3 linked regions of the Saccharomyces cerevisiae S288C genome follow. The gene in region 1 interacts genetically with each later gene. Each region holds a gene or a part of one and is shown on either strand. Other genes may lie near its edges.

Region 1 (3,756 bases):
TCTTTATTTTTATCACACTATTAGCAATGACTTTCACATTTTAAAGGAAAATAATAGTATTAAAAATTAAACAGTGACGAAGGAAGGAAATAAGACACAGAAAAACTAAAAAAATAGAGTAAGTTTATAGGCCCTTTTATTTTTCGAGCAATAGTAAATTGAGTTTCTTCTTCTTTTTCTCTCCCTTTTTCGTAGTAATTTTTTTTTTAAAAATAGTATAATATAATGAATGGATTCTTGTCGTTCTTTTTTTATTTTATCTTGGGATTTGTAGGTTGCCTCTCTTTATTCTTTCTTTTTGTTTCATTCCACTTTTCTTCATAATATTTATTGTTGTTGCTGCTGTTGCTGCTGTTGCTGTTGTTGCTCAGACATAACCGGTTGTTGTTGGTCATTCATTATAAGTGGCTGACCGCCCTGTTGCTGCTGCTGTGGCATAAAATTTGATCTTTCCTTACCCCAACCGGTTCTCAAGTTTCTGCCTTGAAATGGGAAGTTTGCCAAGGCAACAATACAAACAGCGGCCTGTTCATGAGTGTCATACTTTATGAAGCAACAGCCCTTTTCTGGATAGTGCTTGAAATCTAAAATAAAACCGAAGTTCTGGAACAACGGAATTAAATCAGCTTCAGTGGCAAAGTGCGGAATATTACCGATATAGGCAGTAGTAACTCTTGGTGGGGCACTTCTAATGATGTGGTCAACAGCTTGAGGATTTACTTGAGGAGGTAAACCAATGGTCTGGGATTGTTGGGGTTGGCCTTGAGATGGTAATGGCATGGCGCCAATTGGCATTCCCATTGAACTTGGTGGCATGCCCCTGCTGTTGTTCATATTCATATTCATGTTCATATTCATCCCCATATTCATGTTGTTATTGTTGTTACTGTTATATTGACGGAAACCACCACGGTTGTTGTTACCGTAGTTACGACGCTGTTGATAATTATTATTGTTATTGTTATCACGCTTAGCAGCCCAGTTGATTCTTAGCGGTCTACCATTCAAATCTTGACCTTGCATGCTGTCCATGGCATTTTGTGCATCATCTTGAGAAGTAAAGGAAACAAAACCGTAACCTCTTGAACTACCAGTTTGCATGTCCCACATAACATGACCACTCAAGTAGGATGGGAAGTCTTTGAAGGCATTCCTTAAAGTTTCGTCATCAACATTAACATTCAAATCACCGACAAACAAGTTAAATGTATCATCGGAGGAACTCTGTTGGGATTGGAAGGCCCAGTTGATTTTGACAATGTTGTTTTCAATTTGTTTGCCGTTCAATGTTTGTAAGGCAATATTGGCATCGTGAGATTGATGGTATTCAACAAAAGCGTAATTGACGTTCTTATTATTCTTATCGATCATGATTTTGATGTTAGCAATTGGTCCGCCAACTTGGAAATATTGCTTTAAAATGTCTTCGGTGATAGCTTTGTCTAGGTTACCAACATATAAAACTCTATCGGAAGTTTCCCTACCACCGGTAATAGCATTAGCAGGAACTACGGAAGGATCATTTTCACCCTGATTGTCTTCAGCTTGTTCAGAATTGCCTTCGACAGCGACGCTCTGTTCAGAAGAAGGATCTGCTGATGCTGGAGCTTCAACTGCCGAGGGAGTTTCGACGGCAACAGGTTGCTGTTGTTGTTGTTGTTGATGTTGTTCTTCGTTATTTTCAGACATTGGAATCGAACAAAGAGTAGATGTGGTAATCTTCTTATTATGAACCTGCTATTAAGATGATAGAAGGGAAGATTAAACTCTAACTTAAAGCACGAAATGGAAACAGTAGATATTATGAAAATAACTGCAGAGTAGAAAAAAGGAAAGGCATGCTTTACCGTAGTTGAATGATTATTACGAGAGGAAAATGAAGGACAAGGAAAGACGGCCAACGATGAAAAAAAAAAATTGAAAAATTACAACAAAAAAGAAGCGAAGGCAAAAAAAGTTGAAAAAAGTACGAAGTGAAAATACGTAAAGAATTATGTTACAAAATGATGAAAAGAGAACGAGTAAATATTCTCTTTGAATTAATTAGTATACGTTAGGATAATTAATCTTCAGAGGTTTAGTAAGAACATTGTGCTTACAACCGCAACGCGTAAACCTTATGCTAACAAGCCTCTTCGTTCACCTCCCTTGTAACGGCAGTGGGAAGGGTAAGCAAAATAAATCACATTGCGAGAAATGTAAAAAAAGAATGGTCTCTAGCGGGATCGAACCGCTGATCCCCGCGTTATTAGCACGGTGCCTTAACCAACTGGGCCAAGAGACCATTGTTATCTGTTTTTCACCCTCCCTCCACACTATCAAACCAACGTCACAAATGTGTGCCAGAACCACCGCTCATTATCTCTGTGCCACAAAAATCAACTTACACTGTCATTCGAATTTCCGGCAAACTCCGACTGAGAAATGTTCGTACTACTTCCTTTCTAGGGCACATTAAAGGAAAAACTCATTGAATGCACCCTTCACAAATCTTAATATCTCTGACCTTTGCATTGTATTAACCAAGCAACCCTCCCTGTGCAAGTAGAAGCCCTGGATCCTTTGTGGTCGTAAAATGAACAAATACCAATAAGACGAAAACAAAAACAAAAACAAAACGACATAGCAACAATGCGGAATTATTTAAGGCTGGCACTCTTTCCGCATGTTTATCACAATTATTTCCACTTTCACTTAAAACCTTGTTTAAGCTTGGCCTACACCACAGGAAAAAAAACCATCCGATCTAATCTTCAAATATCAATTTGAGGTTGAAAAAATTTGCTAAAGCGTTGGTCTAATTTTGTTTTTCGCCCACATAATGTCTACATCTTTCCAGGAGTTCAAGGCCTTCTGCAACAAGGTTGGGCTAGACTTTCAATGGCTTAATTTGCAATCCTCCAAGTCTGTTCCCGAAAACGGTTCCTCTGAAGGTTTCTCAGCCGTCAGTGATACCGTACAAGAAAACATCAGACCAGCTACGGAACCACTTAACGTCAACCAGTCCAAAGATCCTGTCAGCAACTTTTTTTATGATGTCAAGAATGCTCCACTCTGGAACGTGTATAAGAGGAATCATTCCGGTCATTCTTCTGCTGAGGCTTGTTCTGGAGTAAGTTCAAGGCAGGCGCCAAAAAACATACCCGAGGCAATGGTAAAAGAGACAGTCCTTTCTAATCACGACAATGTCACCATAATAAACGAATTACTGCCAACTTCTTCTGCCATGCATCAGGAAGAAAGCACCGCTATGACAACCTCCTACCTCTTATCCCACTCCGTAAACGATACTTGCAACGTGATGTTTTCTTCCTCCTCCCACAACCGTGCTATGCTCCCATCTTCTCTTGTGCAAAGAAATAACGCTACCACATCTCCCACAACAGACTCTGCATCAGAAAACAACGAATCGGTACCCTCACTAACCTCATCTGTTAGCACATCCTCATCAGTTTATTCGTCATGGAATCCTCCTCATTCTCCACACATATCGTCATTTCCAGACGGCAATTTCGCATCGCTTAACGCAGAAGTGACTTGCTTTGATTTCCGCCGCACCAAGGACTCCAGAACAAAAGAGACGAATGAATCTATCATTCCAACTGAAATTTACTGCCCAACAAATTCCACTGATCACCACAAACATTATCCAAGCCGAAAATCTAAACAAGATGCCTGCGCTCCTGCTCCCTGCAATCAAAATATAAGCTGCAGCGTCGTGTCCACAGCGGAATTTTCCCAGTCTAACCACACGTT
Region 2 (3,756 bases), on another chromosome or scaffold:
TAGGATTTGGAGTAGGGTAGTAAATATAAGGATTCTCCTGTTGCTGTTGCTGTTGTTGGTCTTCTTGTTGTTGTTGTTGTTGCTGTTGCTGTTGTTGCTGGGGAGCAGAGAGTGGTGGAGGTGGCATAAACATCATTGGGTTGGGGTAGGCAAACGGGAACGGAGAATTGTTTGGAGGGGACGAAGGTGAAGAAACAGAAGAAGGTCTGTTTGCCTTCTTCTTTTTCTTACCATTTGAGTCTTCGGTGTCTTCATTTGCTGGAATCTGTACTGAAATCATCTGGGAGATGAAATTTGAAGGAGATCCGATCAAGTAGTTGGGGAAGTTTTGGTAATGAGGGCCCTGATGAAACTGATTGGGTGGGAAGCCGTTCATGTAGGGGGGGAAATTGTTATTTGCAGGCCCATCTTGTTGGTTAGGAAGCGCGACATTTGTGGCCCCAACAGCGGCTGGATTGTTACTAGGTCTAAATACTGGTGTGTTGGCTACGTTCCAGATATTTCTCTTGGGGTAATGAGCATTTTCGGACTCTAAAGACGCAGATGAGCCTGAATTTGAACTGGAGTGGTAAAGCGAACCACTGTTAGTAGTGTTCCTATTCAATTTGTTGAAGTTTTTGTCAGACTCGACATTTTGCTCGAAAGTATTCTGTGTGTCTAAGCTGGCGTTAGAGACGCTTTTTGATATGAATTGGGACTGAGTATTGACAGCGTCGGGTCTATCTTGAGATTCCAGTTCCCTTGTACCGTCAATCAAAGATTTTCCGAACTTCTCAAAAAACCCTTCCCCACCAGAGTTGTTGTTGTCATTGCCATTGTAGTAAACGGGACCAGCAATGGAAGCTGAATACTGGCCCAGAAGATGGTTGACCTTGTTGTTTTTCCCGAGATTAGCCGCAGTATGATGAGTATGATAGTTATTGTACGATGCGGATGACAGGGAGGCAGTGTCGGTTGATCTGTACTGGTAATAATTGCCGCCGTTACCAAAAAACTTTTTCGAGTTCGTGGAGAATGGCGGAGCAGTACCAACTGATAGGGCGGTTTTCTTGAAGATCGGTGAAGATTCACTGGAACCGTGAAGCAGCAAGATCTCTGAATCTACTTCATTTGCCGTGGTGAAACTCGACCTTCTGAAGCCGCCAATTTGCTGTGATCCAGCAGCACCGCCGTTCACAATGCCGGCCGCGGCGGCCTGACCGCCGTTGTTGTTACTATGGGACAGGGCGCTTAAAGAAGAAACTATGGATGCGAGTTCCATATCCATATCCATATCCATGTTCATTTCCATTTATACCCGCAATATTGCGTTATTCAGAAGAAATTTAAATGCGTAGTTCTTGTTTGTTTTCTTGTTTGCTTGCGTACTTCTATGCTTATAGATATATCAGTAGCAAGGAAGTTTCCTTTTCACCGCCTTTCAATGTTCCTATCTTTTTCTTATGTTTCTCTTTAGAGACCAGATGACCAGAAAAAAATTAGCTAAGCAGTGTTATACTATTTACAGTAGATATTCAAATATGTGCAGGCACCACTTATTTTTCTTTTTCCTTCTTTTCTTTGTTTTTTTTTTTCTCCTATTCATCAAGCTTCATACATCCAATATACATTCTCAAGTGTGCTAATGGTACATTTGGGAAATTATCTTCCTCTCTCCACAATTTTTAGAAGGAAAAAAGAAATGCAGTTCAGGGTAACAGAGTGCGCAATTACCGTAGATAGCGATCGGATGTTTATCTTTAGCCCTCTTTTTCTAGCTCAAACCCCGGCACGAATTTTTTAGGTCTTGCTGCTCTGCCCTCGGGCACTTTTCTTCGAGAAGTTCTGGGGCGGTCTGATCGGGAAAAAACGTTCCCTTTTCGGACGTATCGCAGGCAATGTGCAAAAGCTTATTATATACGAGAAAAGAAACGCGAAGGAACGAAAGAAGATGAAAAAAATGCAGCGATAAAATGATATTGTGGTTAATCTAAATTTATATATATATATATATATACATATATATATAGAAATCTATTGTTATACACAAAAATACTTATTTTTTAATATAGATGGCTGCAGATAAAGTAATAGTTTTATATATAGGTATATTTACTGCACAATTCACACGATGGGTGTTTCTGCGGTGTTGAAAAGAGCTAGGAATTTACTAGCAACGTTCATAGTCTGCTGTTTTATGGCAGTAGTGCTTGTTCTGGCGCTGGCACACCATTTTATAAATGAGCACAGAGACACTAGGAGTTCATCGACCCAAATCGAAGTTGATGACGAAAGTAAAAGAAACGTACACCATGACCATGTTCTCACTAGAACCAATGCATACGCGACGCCATACCTCGATCTGGAACATGACAAGAAAAACGGTATCGTCTACGATCATACAAGAACGGTTGTCCGTAAAAAGAACCACGAAGTGGGGTCCTCGTCACTGCATAAAAACCTTTTTCACAAATTTTTGACAAAGCTTATTTTTAGGTTTATCGAGAAGGAAAAAGTTACCGAAGGCGTAACGCAAGGAAAGTTCAATAATAGTAGCAATGAAATTGCCAATCATGAACCGGTTTTTGAAAAAATTCCTGTACAGTGCGACAATCCATTACAGAATCTAATCTTATCGGAAGACTTGACATTAGTTGCGGATCTTAATTATTATTTTAACCAGTACAATATTCAAATAGAGGAATTTAGATTGGAGACCGAAGATGGGTTTGTTATAGATTTGTGGCACTTGATACCAAAATATAGAACGACAGATTCTGACAAGAAGAAGAGGCCACCCATTTTGATGCTACATGGCCTTTTGCAAAGCAGTGGTTCGTTCGCATCCAATGGTAGAAAATCTCTGGCATATTTTCTGTATCAATCCGGTTACGACATATGGTTAGGGAATAACAGATGCGGGTTTAGGCCGGAATGGAACGAAGCGAAAGTACCGACACTAGCTTCCAGGTGGGACTGGGACCTTCGCGAGATGGTTAAGTACGATCTGACCCTTTTGATTGATACCGTGTTAGCTAAGACGCAGTTTGAAAAGCTTACTTTGATCTCGCATTCTCAGGGCACTACACAGGGGTTTATGGGCTTGGTCAACGAAGATAAGTTTTTCCCTCCCGGTTCGGGATCTAAAGAATCTTTTTTCACTTCTAAGATCGCAAACTATATTGCCTTGGCCCCCGCAGTGTATCCTGGTCCCTTACTTAACGAGAAATTGTTTGTTAAGCTTATGACAAAGGAAATCGAAAATCCCTGGTTCTTTGGTGAAACGAGCTTTTTTGAGATAATGATGATTGTAAGAAACTTGTGCGTTGGTGAGAGCTTGTTCTCCTTTGTTTGTTACACCATCTTCAATTACCTGTTTGATTGGAACGATACCCTTTGGGATACCGCATTAAGAGATCGCCATTTCCTGTTTTCGCCAGTCCATGTTTCAGTGAAGTTGATGCAATGGTGGCTGTCACCCGACCCCAACAAGGTAAGTTTTAAATTTGGTTCCCATAAGATGTTCCCCGACAATGTTAAGTGGTTTTCAGACGCATCAAAGGCCCCAAATATCTACTTGTTTGTTCCAAAGCAAGATAGATTGGTGGACGGAGAAAGACTAATCAATCATTTCGTCAATGTGGAGTCGAATGTCAACTACAAGATCTGGTACATTGATGAGTATGCCCATATTGATGTCCTATGGGCACATGATGTCATAGAGAGAATTGGTAAACCAATTTTACAGAATTTGAACAACTATTACTCCAAGAAGCC
Region 3 (3,756 bases), on another chromosome or scaffold:
TTTAAGTACATGAAGGTAGAATATTTCAAATATGATGTCAAAGGCGATAATAGTAACTTCTAAATGCATTCACATTTACAGCGATAGTTTCCTTGAAGTCGTCGGAATACGCTCTATGCGCTATGGTTGATTTTTAATTGTTTTTTTGTGTTGAGACGCGAAAGTAAGGAATATATAAAGAAACTTAAATTTGCTAACAGAAGAAATATTTTATAAGCTGTTTGTTTATGTATTTATGAAACCAAACAAAAAATTGCCTGTATAATGAAAGAATTTTCATATTTGATAAGCTTCTATGTAATTAAGGAAAGGAACCAAACGGGGAATATAGATACGCAGTGAGAGAAACAGAAGTGATAGTAAAAAAGTGAGTAGGAACGTGTATGTTTGTGTATATTGGAAAAAGGTTACAATAGAATATAACCCAGTGCCAAAATCCGATTAGATTCATCAATGGAAAATTCAGAGCTTTTATTAAGGTTCTCCAAAAATTTTAAAGGTTTAGAAAGAGCATGCAAGACAAAAGTATTCATTTTGCCCCAAGTCTCCTTGATTATGGTAAGACTTTTCATAATGAATCCATCGGAGTGGAAGTTTATCTGAAGCGTACCCTTATCAAACCATAAAAACTGCTCAGTTGAAGAAGGAGATGCAGTGGCGGGCGTATTGATTGTGTCGCTAGAGGAATCTAAGGAAAGTAAAGAGGCCAATATGGAGGGCCGCAAACTTAAAGACTTAACTGTTTGGTGTTCGTATGCTGCAGTGACAAAGTATGTCACACAACATCCAAAACTAATTCCTATAGTAATTGAAATGCCCCAAGTGAACCAGCTCGTGAAGAACTTCTGCTTCTTTCTCTTGGGTTTTTTATTCGATTTAGGGGATTTCTTTTTTGAGTTTTCGGCTTTTTTGTTACGACAATAGGACCGAGACTTTGTATGTATAGCTTCGTCATCATTATCTTCCTCATTCACATCTTCTCCGTATTCCAAGGATAAATCTTGTAATCTTTGAAACATTTTTTTCAAATCTCTTTTGTTGGTCACAACAACTGGAGGAAACAATAATTTAACAAGTTTATTCCTTAAGAATGACTTCAGGACGTTTTTCACTTGGATGACTTGCCCAGGCTGGCAGATCGGTATTACAGGCTTGCCTTGAGAATATTGAACGATCCTGTTTAGCAGAGATACCATCTCTCTCAGCTCCTGAAAAATTATGACAATCCCCGTATATTGCGGGAATGTTGCGGAATCGTGATATTTGGGTAATTCAAAAAGAGATTGGTATTCTTTTGGTATTGATTGATAAAAGCTGGAACCAGTCCTTCCCAGTATTAGAAGGCGAAAAACTGGATTCTTTTGTGTTAGTGATAGTTTGGGCATAACAAAAGAGTTTGTCGAAGAAGTCAAGCTTTTTGTTATCGTCACACTATCTTCCTCAAAAGCCTCATCTTCATCACCATCATCATCTTGCTCGTTAAAAGGAGTTTTTTCCTTACCAGGCAAGGGCAGCGATATTATCTTCTGTAACTGTTTAAAGGGATGAGACGGTGAAACGACATTTGCTCCTTCTTGTCCTTGTTTAATAATATTTATTATATCAGCAGCAGGCGCTTGAAGCAGCTCTTGTTCTTCTTCAGAAGTATCACTAGATGATAGAATACTTCCATTAGTCGTTTGAGAAGAGCACCTTTCTGGGATGAAAGAAGCGCCCAAGTCCAAAGGCTGAATGGCTTGCCACGATCCTGATATACTATCGTTTACATTGTGGTTGCCGGATATGTCAATGGACGTAACCAAGTTCTGTCCCATTGGCGAAGGCGAATGCCCTGTCTTACTCAACAATTCCAATACTGATAGATGAGGGTCAAGTAAGCCTTTGTCTTCCCCAGTTTGTGCTTCAGAGCATGTGTGAATAGTCGTTGACGAGGAATCAGGTGGCATGCTTTTAGATGAGGATCCTTTACCTTCCCTTTGTTGGTATTCCAAAACCATATGTTTACTGTTCCTGGCAGATTTTTTTTGCTTTTGTGATTAGGACTTCAATATTGCTTATCGATAAGAGAAGTCACAACTGATAAGAAAAATTGTCAAAAACGAGAAATGGGCTTTGTAAGAAAATATTTCAACAATAACCCAAAAATATAGATTTTAAAAGTATAATGATTATGCCTCAGGAAGCTTACTGCACCTTATTTCCTAAATAACTTTTTTATTACTTAATAGATCTGTTTCTTTTTTTTTTTTTTGTAAAAGGGGTGCGTCAAACAATAGATATATGCTCTAGACAGACGGTGATCTAAGATATTTGAGAAAGCACGAAACAAGTGCCAAACAACTTCAACTTTGCTGAAGTAGTATAAACTTTGCTTTTACTATGCAAACTGTGAAAGACGATTTGTCCTTTCCATATTTGTGTTTTGAGCGATGGGGATGTCGTCCCTTCAGCCGTCTAAAAAAAAAGTCATCAAGCGTGAAATCTATCATCCCGTTGTTGGTTTAAAAGAATATCGTGCATACTGTATAAGAGTGGTATATACTGCAACACAGACACGGGAAGGCCCAATCACCTAGTTTAAATAACGATGTTATCTATTAGTCTGACGACCGTATCGGGTTTTTCGCGGTCAGTCACGTATACAGCACAACTAATGACTATTGGCTGCTGTTCGCTGGTGTTTTCAACATCGGAGAGTTCATCAAGAGTCTTAAAATCTGCTAAGGAAACATAGTCGATTTTGAAATCGTGGGAATCAACGTAGGGTGCCCATATTTGAGTCACAGTATCGATGATTTCTGATCTGGAGAGACGTCCCCCTGGTGCTAGTCTCCTAATAGCATTTTCCGCAGCTTTCAGCCCGCGGTAAAGGTTTTCAGAGATCTTTAAAGACTCTGGACAAAGATATTTGTTTCTACTACTCAGAGCCAGTCCATTATTGTTTCTTACAATAGGCATCATTTGTAGCCTTGTATTAACAAACAGTTCGTCCACCATACACTGTAAAACAATGAACTGTTGAATGTCCTTCTGCCCAAAATAAGCCACATCCGCCATAACGATATTGAATAGTTTAGTCACGACAGTTGCCACGCCCCTAAAGAAGTTAGGTCTCGTCTTCCCCTCTAATTTTTCACTCAATCCAAGAACACTAACAAAAGGGCCTTTCTGCTCTTCTATGTCGAGCGGAATTCCCTGTGGATACATCACGTGTGCATTAGGAGCAAATAGAACATCCACCTTCAACGACTCAAGCAATTTGATGTCGTCTGGCAAAGTTCGAGGATAGTTATCTAGATCTTCCGTTGGCGCAAACTGGGAGGGATTTACAAATATACTGACCACAGTATAGGTGTTTTCCTTCACAGACTGCGAGATCAAACTAGCGTGACCCGAATGCAGGCAACCCATTGTGGGAACGAACCCAATAGTTTCTCTAAATCTAGTTTCCCTCAGCTCCTGTGTTCTCCATTGAACAACTTCTTCGACAGTATGGAAGATTTTCATCAATTCTATATGGATATGCAGTATAAAAACTTGTATAAAACAGTGCAGTATCAACACACACCACTTCTTGTACACATAAATATGTACGCTACATCGAGAAATGTTCATTAATCTCTTGTTGGAAAATATGACAAAAGAAAAAAACTCGTTAAAGTAACATTTACCCGGATATCTGTTCAGCCAACATTATAAAAAAGATGGGCGCTTAATTTCCACTCTTACAGATATCACTCCTTCTAATTAACTTAC

The links.
Region 2: mutations in PUB1 (region 1) and YEH1 together harm fitness more than expected from each alone (negative genetic interaction), as found in Saccharomyces cerevisiae (2 studies listed by BioGRID).
Region 3: mutations in PUB1 (region 1) and ATG32 together harm fitness more than expected from each alone (negative genetic interaction), as found in Saccharomyces cerevisiae (2 studies listed by BioGRID).

What each region holds. Positions count from the first base shown.
Region 1 is NC_001146.8:600,840-604,595, reverse strand, and holds PUB1 (Pub1p), read right to left. Parts: upstream 1,690-3,756; coding exon 328-1,689; downstream 1-327. Other genes in the region: YNL018C (uncharacterized protein), read left to right, coding at 2,822-3,756. UniProt on the Saccharomyces cerevisiae protein: May be associated with hnRNA within the nucleus and remains associated during nucleocytoplasmic mRNA transport, once the proteins are in the cytoplasm, disassembly of PUB1-RNA complexes may occur prior to PAB1 binding and formation of a translationally competent RNP complex.
Region 2 is NC_001144.5:123,424-127,179, forward strand, and holds the start of YEH1 (sterol esterase), read left to right. Parts: upstream 1-2,110; coding exon 2,111-3,756. Other genes in the region: mRNA-binding protein PUF3, read right to left, coding at 1-1,291. UniProt on the Saccharomyces cerevisiae protein: Mediates the hydrolysis of steryl esters, thereby playing a central role in lipid metabolism.
Region 3 is NC_001141.2:73,777-77,532, forward strand, and holds ATG32 (mitophagy protein ATG32), read right to left. Parts: upstream 1,998-3,756; coding exon 408-1,997; downstream 1-407. Other genes in the region: pantoate--beta-alanine ligase PAN6, read right to left, coding at 2,578-3,507. UniProt on the Saccharomyces cerevisiae protein: Mitophagy-specific receptor that recruits the autophagic machinery to mitochondria and regulates selective degradation of mitochondria.